Lepisosteus oculatus: one gene and its partner. The protein of the gene in region 2 purifies or fractionates together with the protein of the main gene of each other region. This does not show direct contact. Links are inferred from orthologs where the notes say so. Each region holds a gene or a part of one and is shown on either strand. Other genes may lie near its edges.

Evidence for each region.
Region 1: the proteins of stk3 (region 2) and rassf6 purify together in Homo sapiens (affinity purification with mass spectrometry; 4 studies listed by BioGRID and IntAct, counting the BioPlex papers as one, with this or other methods). This does not show direct contact. The link is inferred for Lepisosteus oculatus from reciprocal best matches to the Homo sapiens genes STK3 and RASSF6.

Annotation. Positions count from the first base shown.
Region 1 is NC_090698.1:62,244,799-62,251,657, forward strand, and holds the start of rassf6 (ras association domain-containing protein 6), read right to left. Parts: upstream 3,017-6,859; 5' UTR 2,807-3,016; intron 209-2,806; 5' UTR 175-208; coding exon 116-174; intron 1-115.
Region 2 is NC_090705.1:8,366,767-8,373,956, reverse strand, and holds the start of stk3 (serine/threonine-protein kinase 3), read left to right. Parts: upstream 1-4,189; 5' UTR 4,190-4,484; coding exon 4,485-4,507; intron 4,508-7,190. UniProt on the Homo sapiens protein: Stress-activated, pro-apoptotic kinase which, following caspase-cleavage, enters the nucleus and induces chromatin condensation followed by internucleosomal DNA fragmentation.

The DNA of each region.
Region 1 (6,859 bases), on a different chromosome or scaffold from region 2:
GTGTATGTCAAAAGGAATTGCAGTTAAGTGTATACTGCTTTGGATGTCTCTCTTGTGATCTTTTCTTCCTACAGTACATTCCCATTGAATGTGTTAAATTGTCAGATTGAGCTACCTGGAAATGGATCTCTTGTTCCCGATATGGACAGGAGACGATGGCTGGTCAAGATTCATTGTAGTTAATCCTGCAAACCAAAATGGTAAGACCCTTTGTGAGACAAAAAAAAATAAAATCAGTTAACACTGTTAAGTGCATAACGATTCACAAGCTCCTTAATAGTCCAAATGTCAGTTCTGTTCATGTTCTTTCTGACATTGTGTTATAAGACTCACATATTTTCTTTTGAATCTTTAAAATATCGATCATGTAACAGTTTCTCATATGCTGTTAAATGAGTGTTGTTGTGTATGTGCTGTAAATTGTTATAAGATAGCCTAGTGTTCTTTTGCAACAAGGAGGAATATACAGAGATTTAAATGTACTGTAGGTGTAATACTCCTTTCCACGTGGTGGGCCAAATGACAGTCATATATTATGTTTGTCCAGTGTGGTTACATTTAATCAAATCATGAAACAAAGTGAGAAATGGTTATCTCCCCAGATCACTGTAAATTGTTGAGGCACTGGGGGGTATCAGGAGTAATAAATTATAGCAGATATACCACATTTGTAGTGATTTTGGATCATTTAAAACTTGTAAACTGTACAAAAAAATGAAAGGAATACTTAAATGGGATGTAGAAAATACACTATTGGTTAATCCAGTTCTGTTGGGTATAACAAAAATTATGATGATTCTAAGTTTTTTTTAAACAGAATGTGATTAGCTTGTTTAGAATAATGTGTTTTTTTTATATTGAATACAGACATCCAGAACAATTTTAATTTAAGTTACATAGGAGCCATATTTGTGGTATTGCAAACTATGGAGGGACAACAATGCCACAGGATCCCTATTGTTGATTTAAAATGTCTAAATGCTTTTACTCAGTGTTGTTATTTGAGTTAACATAAATAACAATGTCCCTTAGTCTTTAGCTTAAATAAATGTCCCATAAACACTTTCAGTTCCTCTTTCCATCCTTAAAGGCTGTTCTGTTGATCACATCATAGTTACCGAAACCGAGCACACTTACTAAATGTAACAAAGTCTTCTGGAGTACAAACACATCCACATTTCAGATAAAATAACTTTTTGGGCATTCAGCATCCCAGCCCTGTCTAGGAATGTCAATTTTTAACCTTTTGGTCAAGTCAAAACATGCACTTTCCTGTACCAAATTTACAAATTGAAATATTTGAAATATAATTATCTACAAACAACCATTTCATTGAATCACATGCTTTGATTTTTTCTGCATTTTAAAACATTTGTAAGTACTTAGTATGCCTAACTCAAGTAGAGACACACTTTGTGAAGAATCTATAGCATATACAGTAGATATAGCATGTCTATAGGTCTTTAAAGTACAGTTTAATGCTGTTTCAGAAGTGAAAAGAAATAAAAAACAAACAACAACCAGGGAACAACCCATTCATGTCAGGTGTCTACGAAGCTCCATTGACAGGGAGAACATACAAGTTCATTTAGCATTTTATCAAAAAAAATATTATCTGAAGTAAAAAACTTATCAACACCCGGAAACTTTTTAAGTACAGCCAAAATCAGACAGAAAACATCAATTGTGATGCAAATGTTTTGAGACTAGTTTTATTTGTTTCTAGCAACTGACATTTTATCTTTGCTACATATGCAAACCTACAGCAAGAGACATTTTAAAAGGTCACCAGTACTAGTCCATAATTTTGCAAGATTTGTTAATTGCCATCTGTGTATAAATGAGTGTACAATAACAATAGAACATCTATTACGATAATTATTCTACATGATTCTATTGTGTGGTTGTAGTAAATTCTGCATCAAATATTGAGAAACTGTTATTACAGTTCAATGTCACATACAGTAAAGCTTTTCAAACATAAACATGGAATGAAAATGTGAAGTTTTGTCTCTGGAAATTTAAAGCCACTTTTCATTATTCTGAGTATGGTACCATAACAAGCCTAGTTTACCCACTCAAATATATAGCCAGGGGCTACATTCCTTTAAGTTATTGGACCACACCCATTTCTAACTAGAATATTTCACTAATCTGGATGACCAGATGCAATACATTTAAATAGTATTTCTAAGTACCACTCTACAAAAAAGCAATCTGTGTTATGTTGTTATGAAGTATTTAATTTACATATTTTAATCCAGGTGTATTTCTTATGTGCAGTATAATTAAAACAAAGGTATCTGTATTTTCTTCAGTTCTGCAAGAGATCTGTATGATTTGTTTGAGAGATGGTGTGAAATAGAAGATTTTGATCACGAGGCGATTCTGAAATCTACCATGTTTTTTCAGTTCTGTGAATTTTCAGTTTTAATGTTCCCCACAGACTGTTGCCAGTGATGGCTTGATGTAAAAATTAAAATGTGAAAAAACTAGAAGCACAAACTTCAAAATCAAACCTCAAACTGACCCACATGTTATTTGAAGCAACTTAATTATAAAACTGATTCACTTTATGTGTCCATATACTATAAACTGAAAGTAAAATATAAATTTTTCCCTTTACTTCAGTCAACATGAAATGCTTTCCTTGCCTTTGTCACATGATGATTTACCTACAAACATGATGACACATTATTCTTCCACTCCTCTGAAATTAAATCTTACTTTACTCATCATCTGGTTATAATAGTTAAGTCTCCAAACAGCCAAAAGTTACCATTACCACTGAACAACTTCCACTCACCTTTACTGAATCAAAAGTACTTGTCCAAAGTAGCCTGTATCACATTATTTTTTCTGCTGTAACAGGAAAAAGAGGTCAAAGGAAGTCAACGATCAGCCAGTGTAACTTTTGCCTGAAGCCTCAGATAGATGTTAATTATTAGTGAGCGCAGGACAGACAGTGTTTTGAAGAAGGTGGCAGAAACCTGAGACTGCCTACAGTGTCTTGCCACAGTGCATGTTGGGAGTGTTTGCCTTGCTGCTAAGTGGATCCTATATAAACACACCTGTAGTCACACCTTTCACCAGCAGGAGAAGGCAGGTACTTTGTGAATATTAACTGTTTCATCACTGGAACATTTTTCAAATAATCAGTCAAATGCTGAACAACTTACAAAGTATTGTAATATTTGCTAATGTTTATTCAAAATAGAAAGATCACATTTATCAAAAGATCAAAGTATTCTATTTCACATAATCTCCCATGCAAATCATACAAATCTCTTGAAGAACCTGAAGAAAATACAGATAACTTTGTTTTAATTATAAAACACATAAGAAATACATCTGTAAGTGAGTTTCACAGACACAGTACACAAAATATTTACACGTTCTAATTAGTTTGGGGATTTAATTAGCAATTGTTGTGGGGTACAATGCATGATATAATGTTTATTCCAATTAATTACTTTTAATCATCATGGCTCATCAAAATAATTTTTTAATAATTTCAGTTTGGTGTCAACAGTTAAATGTTTCTATTCAGAAACTTAATAACTAAAGACAAATTTGATCACTTTGTAATACAATATCTTTATGATATACTGTATAATGACTGTAATATAATCACTGTAATGAAAATAAAGCAATTTATCAAACTTGGACAACACACAATGTATTGCATGTAAATAAATAACTTTTATTTATCCAGTTAGCTCTGATTTTACTTTAGAGCAGTGTGCATTACTGCACATTTCTCTGTGTGCTGTTTTGTTAATCTGAGCTCACAGTTACATAAATTAACACTGCAGGTGGGTAGCTGCCATCAGCAGGCATAGGCTGCAAAGGAACAAGTAATAGGTTTATTCCATGCTGAAAAGAGAAGGTGTGAGGAAGGTCGAAACGTTGTGTTTTCATTCTTCTCTTTTCAGCTTGGAATAAACCTACAGTGTATTACTTGTTCCTAAACAAACACTTACTCAATATACTATTTACTTTTAGCTTTTTCAGAGATCAAAACAAGTCAGAGACTCAAATCAATACAAGAGTCAGTTAATAATTAAGAATGCATCTGGAACAGAAACTACAAGAAACAGGGGTACCCCAGAAGAGGTGTCCTTGATCCATGCTAATGAACTAGGAAATTGGAAAGTGAACTTCTCCTGATTGATTCATCATACCTGATACATACTGTATGATACATCATATCATGAGTGCAATGTTTTCTTGAGATAATAGCTGTAATAATAAATCTTGAAAAATATGAAACACCCTTTAAGATGGGTATTATTATGGGTAGTACATACCGAGAGGCATTGAAAAAGCAACAGATCGTTTTGGTTCCAACACAATGGATTAAATCTGCACCTCCAAACCTTCATAAAGGTGGGATTTAAGAAAATGATTAAAATTACTGAAATGTTAAATTAGTCACACAGAACTCCACAACTGTTAAAAGGGTAAATGGTTAAAGCTTTGAGAAATCATGTTTATTCTTTCATAGTTAATCTGTTACTATTACAGATCGTTTAATGCCTTGACTAATTACTATACAGTATGTAAAAATAAAGTTTCAGAAAAATAATCAAAAATACACCATGCACTTTGATATCCATATCTAGGAAAGGTGTGATTTTATATAGTTTTAGCATTTAATATAGTTTACATGCTGTAGAAAATCTGTCTGTCAATTCCATATGAACCATTTTCAAAAGAATAACTGGGACATCAATGAATTGAGACTAGAAAGCTTATGTCTTTCAGAACCTTTATGTACCATGTGGAAGAGGCAAAGCAGTCACCCAACAGCTGTGGACATTTTGCTATATTTGCGTATGAAAATTATTTGGTTTCATTGCTGTACAGATTTGCAGGAGGTTTTATGCAATTCCTTGAAGTACAGTAGGTACAGTAGCTGTGTCAGCATGCGTAGTCTGCAAAGGAGCAAGTAAAGGTCTTTTCTATGCCAAAAACAAAAGGGACCCAACATTGTGGCTGTGCAGCCCGCTTCAGGTGTAAATCTGGAGGTACCCGAAAAAGACTCCACAACCAAAACGTTGTGTCTCTTTTCTTTTCAGATGGAATAAACCTTTGCTTCTTCCTTTCTCAGTTTCTGTAGTTTACTTTTCATTTCTGAATGAGGCACATTGAGGATAGACAGGCAAGCATCATCATTTATCAACATTCAAAAAGAAAAAAAAACATTTGATTAATTTTATTTCTTGAAGTAGTCATTATGTACTCACTTATACAGCAGTGAAGGAAATTATGGAAAGAATGACGATTATGGAAGAAAATGGCAATGAAGAGTAAATAATCTGACAGATATTCAGGTTAATGGGCCTGAGTGGCTCAAGCTGCATTTGAGCAATCACCTGTACATGGCTGAGTAACTTTGGAGGCCCTAAAATCAAAGAGAGGTGTACTCTAGGTAAAATCTGCCAGCTTCAAGTTTTAGCAGGAACTGCATGCAAATATCTGGAAGGAGTAGGCATTGGCACCATCTATTTAGGAGCTGAGCCAACAAGCCCATACACAACCAAACATGAAATGCCTAGGACATAATGTATTGAGATAAACTTAGTTTTGGGGAATATCAGTCTATAGCATTTACAGTTTTATGTACTAAGGCACAATGAAAACCCAACAAGTCTATATTTTACATCAATACATCTTTTGGACCATACTTTATAAATATTAAATAATGAACAGAAAGTCTTGCTGATTGTTTACTATTGGTCCCAGGGCTAGCAAAATGAGTTTATAAAGAATCTGTATGAATATCTATTCTAAAAAATATTTGGAATAATGCATAAGCAGCAAAGATAAGACCATGTGTAACATTGCAAAATGTACCTTTTGTTTATGGAGGCATTATACTTTGTATTATTATGTATGATAAATTTCACATCACAAAGATCATATAACCTCTGTCAGCTCACACTGAAATCAAACTTGGAATTATTTTACTCTGTTTGCAGACTTGAATACCACTGTCTTCTCCATGGTTGTATGTATGTATATAATAATAGCTTACACTCCCCAATGTACAGCATCCACCTAGATGATGTGACAGCAGCCATAGTGCGCCAGAATGCTCACCACAGAGCAGAGCAGAGGAGAGCAGAGCAGCCAATTCATAGTCGGGGATTATTTGGAGGCCATGATTGGTAAGGGCCAATGGGAAATTTAACCAGGACGCCGAGGTTACACCCCTCTGAGAAACACACAGGGATTTTTAATGACCACAGAGAGTCAGAACCCTGCTTTTACATCTCATCCAAAGGACGGCACCTGTTTACAGTATAGTGTTCCCGTCACTATACTGGGGCATTAGGACCCACATGTACCACAGGGTGAGCGCCCCCTGCTGGCCCCACTAACACCTCTTCCAGCAGCAACCTTAGTTTTTCCCAGGAGGTCTCCCATCCAGGTACTGATCAGGCTCACACCTACTTAGCTTCAATGGGTTGCCAGTTGTGAGGTGCAGAGTGATATGGCTACTGGCTATATAGATTAGTGGATAAAGCCGTTACAAAATGGAAGGATGGATAAAAAATACGTTCAGCATTACATTAAATATAGGAAAAACAAAATCAAAATACTAAAATGTAAATGGACAAATATTAAATTGATTCCATTTTTTTTTCCATTTGAGGATGTTGAAAATTGGAAATACTTTATAAAATGCATGACTCAGTTGAATAGATGGTTCTATTTCTTAACTTTGGATGTCAGCAGTTTAACGCTTGTGCAACAGATGGCAGCAGTACACTAAAAATGTGCACCCACTGCCAATGAAATAGGCTTTTCAGTATCTCTGGTCTGTTAGCAATACAATTGGTGAAAGCAAAAC
Region 2 (7,190 bases):
AGAAACTTGTTGACATTCAACAGTGAAACAAGCGTCTAGAGATGTTTGGGGCTGCATGTATTCCAGTGGGCTAGGAAAGGTAATAAACAGGGAAGGTACTGGTGTCCCCCCCCCAGGGAAAATGGCATGCTGATTACCCAAAACCGTGCCGTATCGTCTGGAGAGCAAGGCTGGTTGAAACATCACTTCTGTATGTGATGACGATGACATCAACCACAGTACTGGGGCCATAAAAATGATCTCGTTGGCAAAAGACAAGCTGGATATGTGAAATCTGCGACCTGCACACGAATCCAGAGGTCAGTCCTGGTTCTATAAAACACGGACTTAGGGAAGGACAAGAGAAGACTTTGGATGAACTTTGGAATTTTTTTTAGGTTCCTTAAATGTGGAATACACAAGCACCGAGCTGTCAAATAAATCAGAGTGTGGGGACACAAAATATTGCCTTCATCTCACATCATCATTGGTAGGAGACCAATTTTTAAATTTTGAAATCTGTTGCTTTTTTTTTTACTATTGTAAATATATATACTTCACATGTATCTGGGATTACATACTTTGGAACAGTTCTGTATGTCATTCACCTTTTTGGAGTTTTTAGTTTTAGAGTAATGTTTTAAGAATGATACGATACGAGGGAACAAAACACTGCAGTTGGAGTGTGCTTTTCCTTTCCAAGGCCATTTAGAAAGTCAATGACCTTAGGTTCTTAATGACTTTAGACTAAAACCTTTAGGCCAGATTTGTTACTTTGTGCATCCTAGAGGTTCAGTAATGAAAATCCATCCATTTTCTAACAACTTTATCCAATACAGTGTCATGAGAGTGGAAGCCTATCCCAGCAAGCAATGGGCACAAGGCAAGGTACAGCACTCCATTGCAGGGCACAGACACTGGCACACAGACACCAGGGCCGAATTTCTCAGAAGCCAACTAATTTACTAGTATGTCTTTGCAATGCTTCAGACCGCAAGACCCTGCAACGAATGGTGGAAACAGCTGAAAAGATCATCGGCGCCTCCCTCCCTTCCATTCCTGTCACATCTCACGAACGCTGCTTACACAGTATAGTGGATGACCCCTCCCAGAAACTCTTTGCCCTCCTACCATCTGGGAAAAGATATCGCAGTGTACGGGCTAGATCCAGACTCTGGAACAGTTTCTTCCCACAGGCTGTCAGGCTCCTCAACATCCTGGAATCTACCTGCACCCACTCCAATTCCAGGAACAGGTTTAAATCCCCCCAGTGTGTTGTGTATGTTGTATTATGTATGTGCCTTGTAATTTGCACTATCTGCACTTTGCACTGTGTGTATCCTGTCTACACTGTCTATGTCAGTGTCCTGTCTGTATTTGCACCGTGGAGCAGGAGGAACGATATTTAGTTCCACTGTATACTTGTAAATGGCTGGAATGACACATAAACGTGAACCTGAACTTGAACTTTGGACTGTGGGAGTCACTGGAACACCAGAGGAAACCCACGCAAGCATATGGTACAAATGCCATGAAGATCGCACCCCAGGAATTGAACACAGGACCCTAGCACTGCGAAGCAGCAGTGCTGACCACTACGCCACTGCATCGCCCTGCTCCTAATTGATCAGCATATTAGAAAAACTTACTTTCTTTGACCCTCAGCACAATTATATTCTTAAGCACATAAGAAAAACAAATCCTCTGTTTAAACAAAACAGAACAGGGTCTAATTCCCTTCCATCAATTGAACCTGTTTAGCTGATTGATGGTAGTGTCCATCGTAAAAAGATTGTTACGAAAATACGAATCTCGGGGGAAATTATCAGGCGGTAAGAAAGGGTCAGTCTTGTTTATGTAACGTAATGTTCAAAGAAGTCTTTGAACATACTGTACAACAGCAGCAGTGGATACAAAAAGAAAGTGCATTTAATTTTCAAAAGACCTTTGATAAGTTCCCTCTAAAAATATTCATTCTCAAATTGCAGGTGATAGAAAAAGCTTGTATTCAGTATAAACACTGGTTAATGGTAAACAGAATACAGACATCGCTTAATAATAACAATACACTCCGCTCAAAGTGCTTTACAGATAATGGGGACTCCCCTCCACCACCAATGTGCAGCCCCTCCTGAATAATGCAATGGTAGCCATAGCATGCCACACACCAGCTCTCAGTGGGGAGGAGAACAGAGAGATGAAGCCCGTCTAGAGATGGGGATTATTAGGAGGCCATGATTGGTAAAGGCCAGGGGGAAATTTGGCCAGGACACCAATGTAACACCGCTACTCTTTTTGAGAAACACCCTGGGGTTTTTAATCACAACAGAGAGTCAAGACCTCATCCCATCCAAAGGACTGCAAACTTTTTTTTTTTACAGTATAGTGTTCCTGTGACTACAATGGGGCATTAGGACCCACACAGAGCCTGCAGGGTGAGCGCCCCCTACTGTCCCCACTAACACCTCTTCCAGCAGCAACCTTAGTTCCCATTTAGGTACTGGCCAGGCTCACACTTGCAGAGCTTCAGTGGGCTGCCGGCTGTGAGTTGCAGGGCGATATGGCTGCTGGTTGCAATAAGAAGAACATAAGAATAGTTACAAAGGAGAGGAGGCTGTTTGGCCCATCTAGCCTCTTTGGTAGCTAGTAGTTACTTGGTCCAAGAATCTCATCCAGCTGTTAGTTGAAAGAAACCAATACATTGGCTTGCACAACATGCCTGGGCAGTTTGTTCCACACTCCCACAACCCTTTGTGTAAAAATATGCCATATAATCATCACTGGTTTACTTACGATACCAGAATAAAACACATCAAAACAGGCCTGTAGCACTGTATGTGCCAGTAATGAAACCGTTATTATTATTCCTCTTCAGCGTGTGTAAAAAACTATTTGAAGTATTATTGAGTTTTGAAGTTCTGGGAAAACTGGGGCTCACCCAAACCAACGGAAACTAGGAACGTCAAGTCAGAAACCACCATAAAACAAGAAACCCAACGCGCTGTGAAGCGGAGATGTGATGTTTTTTTTTGTAAAATGGCGGTTTAGGGGTGACGTGGTGGAGAAGCTGGTAGCTCTGCAGCCCCACAGCTCTCGTGGTCCTGGGTTTTATTTGGACTGGGGCACCGTCTGGGTGGAGTTTGCATGTTCTCCAGGAGTTTGTGTGGGATTTCATCGGGAGTTTTAGCTTGCTCCAAAGCTATGCTGATCAGGTTACTTGGTGTCTCTAGTCCATGACTGTTGTCATGTGATGGACTGACCTACACTGATAATGATAAGATTTGTATTTCAACATCCCTTGCCAGGGTAGAGGCATTCTTGAGACTGGGTGCGTGGTATGAGACAGAAAGATACTTTATTGTCCACTGCTGTGGAAATTTGTCTTTAGCTTCTCCCATAAAAGTGCATGAAAAAAAAATTGCCAGAAATAATTCGCACCTTTCATATCAACCACCACGATGATTAAAAAAAACCACATCGCTGTGGAGCTTATGAGATACCTTCTTAAGCATGTGACAACGGAAAACGCAGCCTCGGCTTCAATTTACACTGAAATCTCAAACCTAGTCATAATTAACCGGCTAGTACAACACTTGTGCTCGTCTATTTTTTTACACATATCCAGCTTCGCAAAATGTTCGATAAATCAGAAATATACGGAGTTTAGCAAGCACGCCTCTTCTAAAAATGACCAACACTAGCAACTGAAAGAGTGACTCCCAATAATGCTCCAGCCGCCTACAGTATATGTCAATATTTTATAATATGTCTTTGTTGTAAATGTCTGTAACATGTCTGTAGATTTTATTTTACTTCTATTTCTGGTTTTGTTCCATGTTAATTTTATTATTTTTATTTGCTTTGGCAACGCTGATTGTACCTATCGGTCATGCTAATAAAGCACCTTGAATTGAATTGAGTGAAGGCAGGCACGGGTGGTTTTTCACAGCCTGTGACAACCTCACCGGTGATGTGTGCCATTTCGGAAGACGACTGGGTGTGTTTTTGGAGCATGGTAACAACAGAGTGTCAGGGCGTGATACTCCCGGTTAACCAGAGACGTACGCCCTGCACAAGAATCCCAACTGGATCCGGTTGGTGCTTCAAAACCACAGAAAAGCCCTCAGCCAGGGAGTGATGCTCTGCTTTTTTTCCCCCACCCACAATGCCGCAACAAAGCACATGTTCACTTCCTACTGGCCTCGGCGAGTAGGGGAGTCCCGACTGCAGCCCTGCGATATTGGCGTCGGTAGGGACCAGTGTTGGGGGATGACCGCCGGTGGATCCATCCAACCAGGAAAACGCGGCGCAGGAAGACACGTCCCTCCTGGAGCAGCAAGTTAGAAAGCGCTCCTCAGCGACGTCACCGGAGTGTCACCAAGAAGGCAGCTGGAGGGGCCGAATATGAAACTTGGTTAGGAGTTATACACGGCTTTTCCACCCTTTATTTTCTTCGGGCAGGGTCTGTTGTTTCAGGAGACCGGTGTTTTCGGCAGCGTCGCAGGATGGAGCAGCCGGCGCCCAAGAGGTAAAAGCAAACCGGGCGCCTGTGAAGACCGGCGGGGCGGGCTGCGCCAAACTTTCGGTTGCCTTCGTTTGTGTTGTGGTCTCGTTGTCTCCTTGTTGTTTTGTTGTAATGGTTACTGCTTGTTGCAGCTGTCGCGGTAGGCCATGATGGGTCTAGGTTCAGCAGGGTAGTTCGCGTTTGTTTTTCTTTTTTCTCTTTGCCGAGAGGTTGGTCTGGGGTTGTTACAGTCTCGGGGAGTGACTGTTTGTTTTCCTTTGTTCGGCATTTTCAAAGTGCCTCCGGTAGCCTGACCCCGGGCTGGGCTCTCCTCTCAATTTAACCAGTGAAGGGTCACTTTTCGGCAAAGCGGTGATTTTCTACGTACCGAGCAGGGATTGCATTTTTTTTTAAAATTCCAAAATGGCAGGATTCTCCTAAACGGGAGGCTTGCTGATTAAACCCCCTGACAGCCTGTCAGTGTGTTAAGTTGTAGATCTATCCCTTGGTTTGGCAAATGCTTTGTTGTGCTTTTCGTTAATAACCCGAGCGTGGATTTAACTGAAGAGAGAGCGACACGGTTTACTACATATTGTGTAAGTCGACGTGTCTGTTTTTGTGTGTGTGAATCTGCTACTCCAGAACTGGTATTTAATTTAGATAATTCATTATATGTTAACCGGATATTGATATGCCACGGAACCACGTGCGGGGTAGCGTTCACAAACAAGCAGAAAGGCATTTCCGTGTAGTGTACTCCTTGCTCTTGTTCCTCTTGTTCTGGTGCTAACAAACGGCGCAATGACAGTTCTCAACCTTCGGCATTTATAATTTACCCATTTACTCATTCTCTGTTGCCCACTATGTGTTTCTGAAATGAAACGAAATTGCAGTTCCGCCTAATTCGTGAAGTGATACTTATAATCTGTGCGAATACTTCTTGTTTGTGTGGTTTCATTTATTTTAAAATTATTTTCTTACCGTGCAATATAATAATAATGGCTAGTGTGCGTTAATTTTTGAGTGTTGAAGAACGAAGCAAATAGTTGTAAGAGAATCATAGACCAAGCTTGGTGCTGTGGGGAACACAGTGATGATTACGAGAGTAGGCTGGAGATACCGGGGAGTGGGTCTTGTTAGGCTTAGTCTTGTGAGTGTATTATTCGTAGAACTGAAAATGCCGGTGTGCAGTAGTACCACACTAAACTACCAAGGGTTATTTGTACAATCTGGCCTGTCTTCTGATCACACCTGATCTGGTTTGTACTGGGCAGTGGTGGGTGAAGTGGTCCACCATTGTTGTTAAGTCTATTCCTAGTCTTTATTCCTTTGGGATGCAAAGTGAGATGTAAATGAAAGGAATTTTTCATTGGTATAAAATAATTGCCTTTAAGTTTTTATTGCAGCACTTTGTTGTGTAAATGATAATGTAAGTGCTGGTTGCTTAGTTAAAAAAAGTTCAGGTTTATGGTATGTTTGAACTTTTTGTCATCTGCTACCATCGCTGTTCAGCTTACTTCTGCCTTCGAGGGTTCCCAGAATTCAGCACCTTCAAATCACTGACCCTCCTGCTTTTTTCTGCTCTGTTGTTTTGTTTCCTGTGCTGAATGATATTTCTTTCACATTTAGGTTTGCCTGAAACTGACATTGTAATATACAGATAACCGCTTGCGAAGATCCCAGTCGAACAATTGAGTTAAGAGACTGAAATCCAGTGATCATAGACGCATTTGATCATGTAGACCCACAGAAGACAGGAAATTATTTCAATTATATTTAACAAATAATCAGTTTGGCTGTTATGTTACTTGCTGCTGATGCTTAGCCTGAGCAGTGTGAGCTGTCTAGGTGGATGACTGAGGCTGAATCCTCTGGATTGAAAGGCGCTATACAAGAATAAAATTGATCACATGATCAATTGGTGTCCTCCTGGAACCCGAAACAAGTCTTGAAAATCCTCAAGGCCTCCGACAAAGTCAACACCATCAGATGTCTTCAGAATGAACAGTGGAAATGGACCAGTGGGCACACGTGGAAACAACTCGGAAGGGAGTTTAAAACCGAGGGAAGGTGGCTGTTCTTTACCCAAAGGGATGTGGGAGTGTGGAACAAGCTACCCAGGCATGCTGGTGAAGTTTAAACCAGATTGAAAAGAATTAGATCCTTGGAATTAGTTACCAAACGAACTACGAGTGGCCTCCTCTCATATCCTTTCTCAAGTGTTTTCCTGCAGTTCTGGATTTCGGTGAAGCTTCCCGGTTTCACGGGGTGATTTTGTCTCTTTGATATTGGTTTATGTTCTGTCACTTAATTCTTCGTTGCACCTTCATTCTTGCTGTGATCTGAGACGCGAGCTTCATTTGAAACTGCGATGTTGCTAGTCTTGTCATCTGCAGTCTCCATCTCCTGAGGTCTTTAGTGCTAGTGCTGCAAGGGTCATTTTCATACACTGTGCTCACTGAGAACAAGAGGGAATGCAAATCCAAGGCAGGCAAGGTAGTAATGGTGGCATGGAAATCGTCTTCATTCGTGTGTAGCCACACAGTGCCATGTTGATTAGTCTTATTGGAATTTGGTGTCCTCTGAGTTGGGGCCCACTGTCGGTGTGTTTTTGTCGCCTCTAAGCTGTGCTGCGTGTTGCACCTAAGATGAAACCGTTATGAGTTGTCATAGGGCCATAATGTATATGGTGTAAAAATACCTGCTA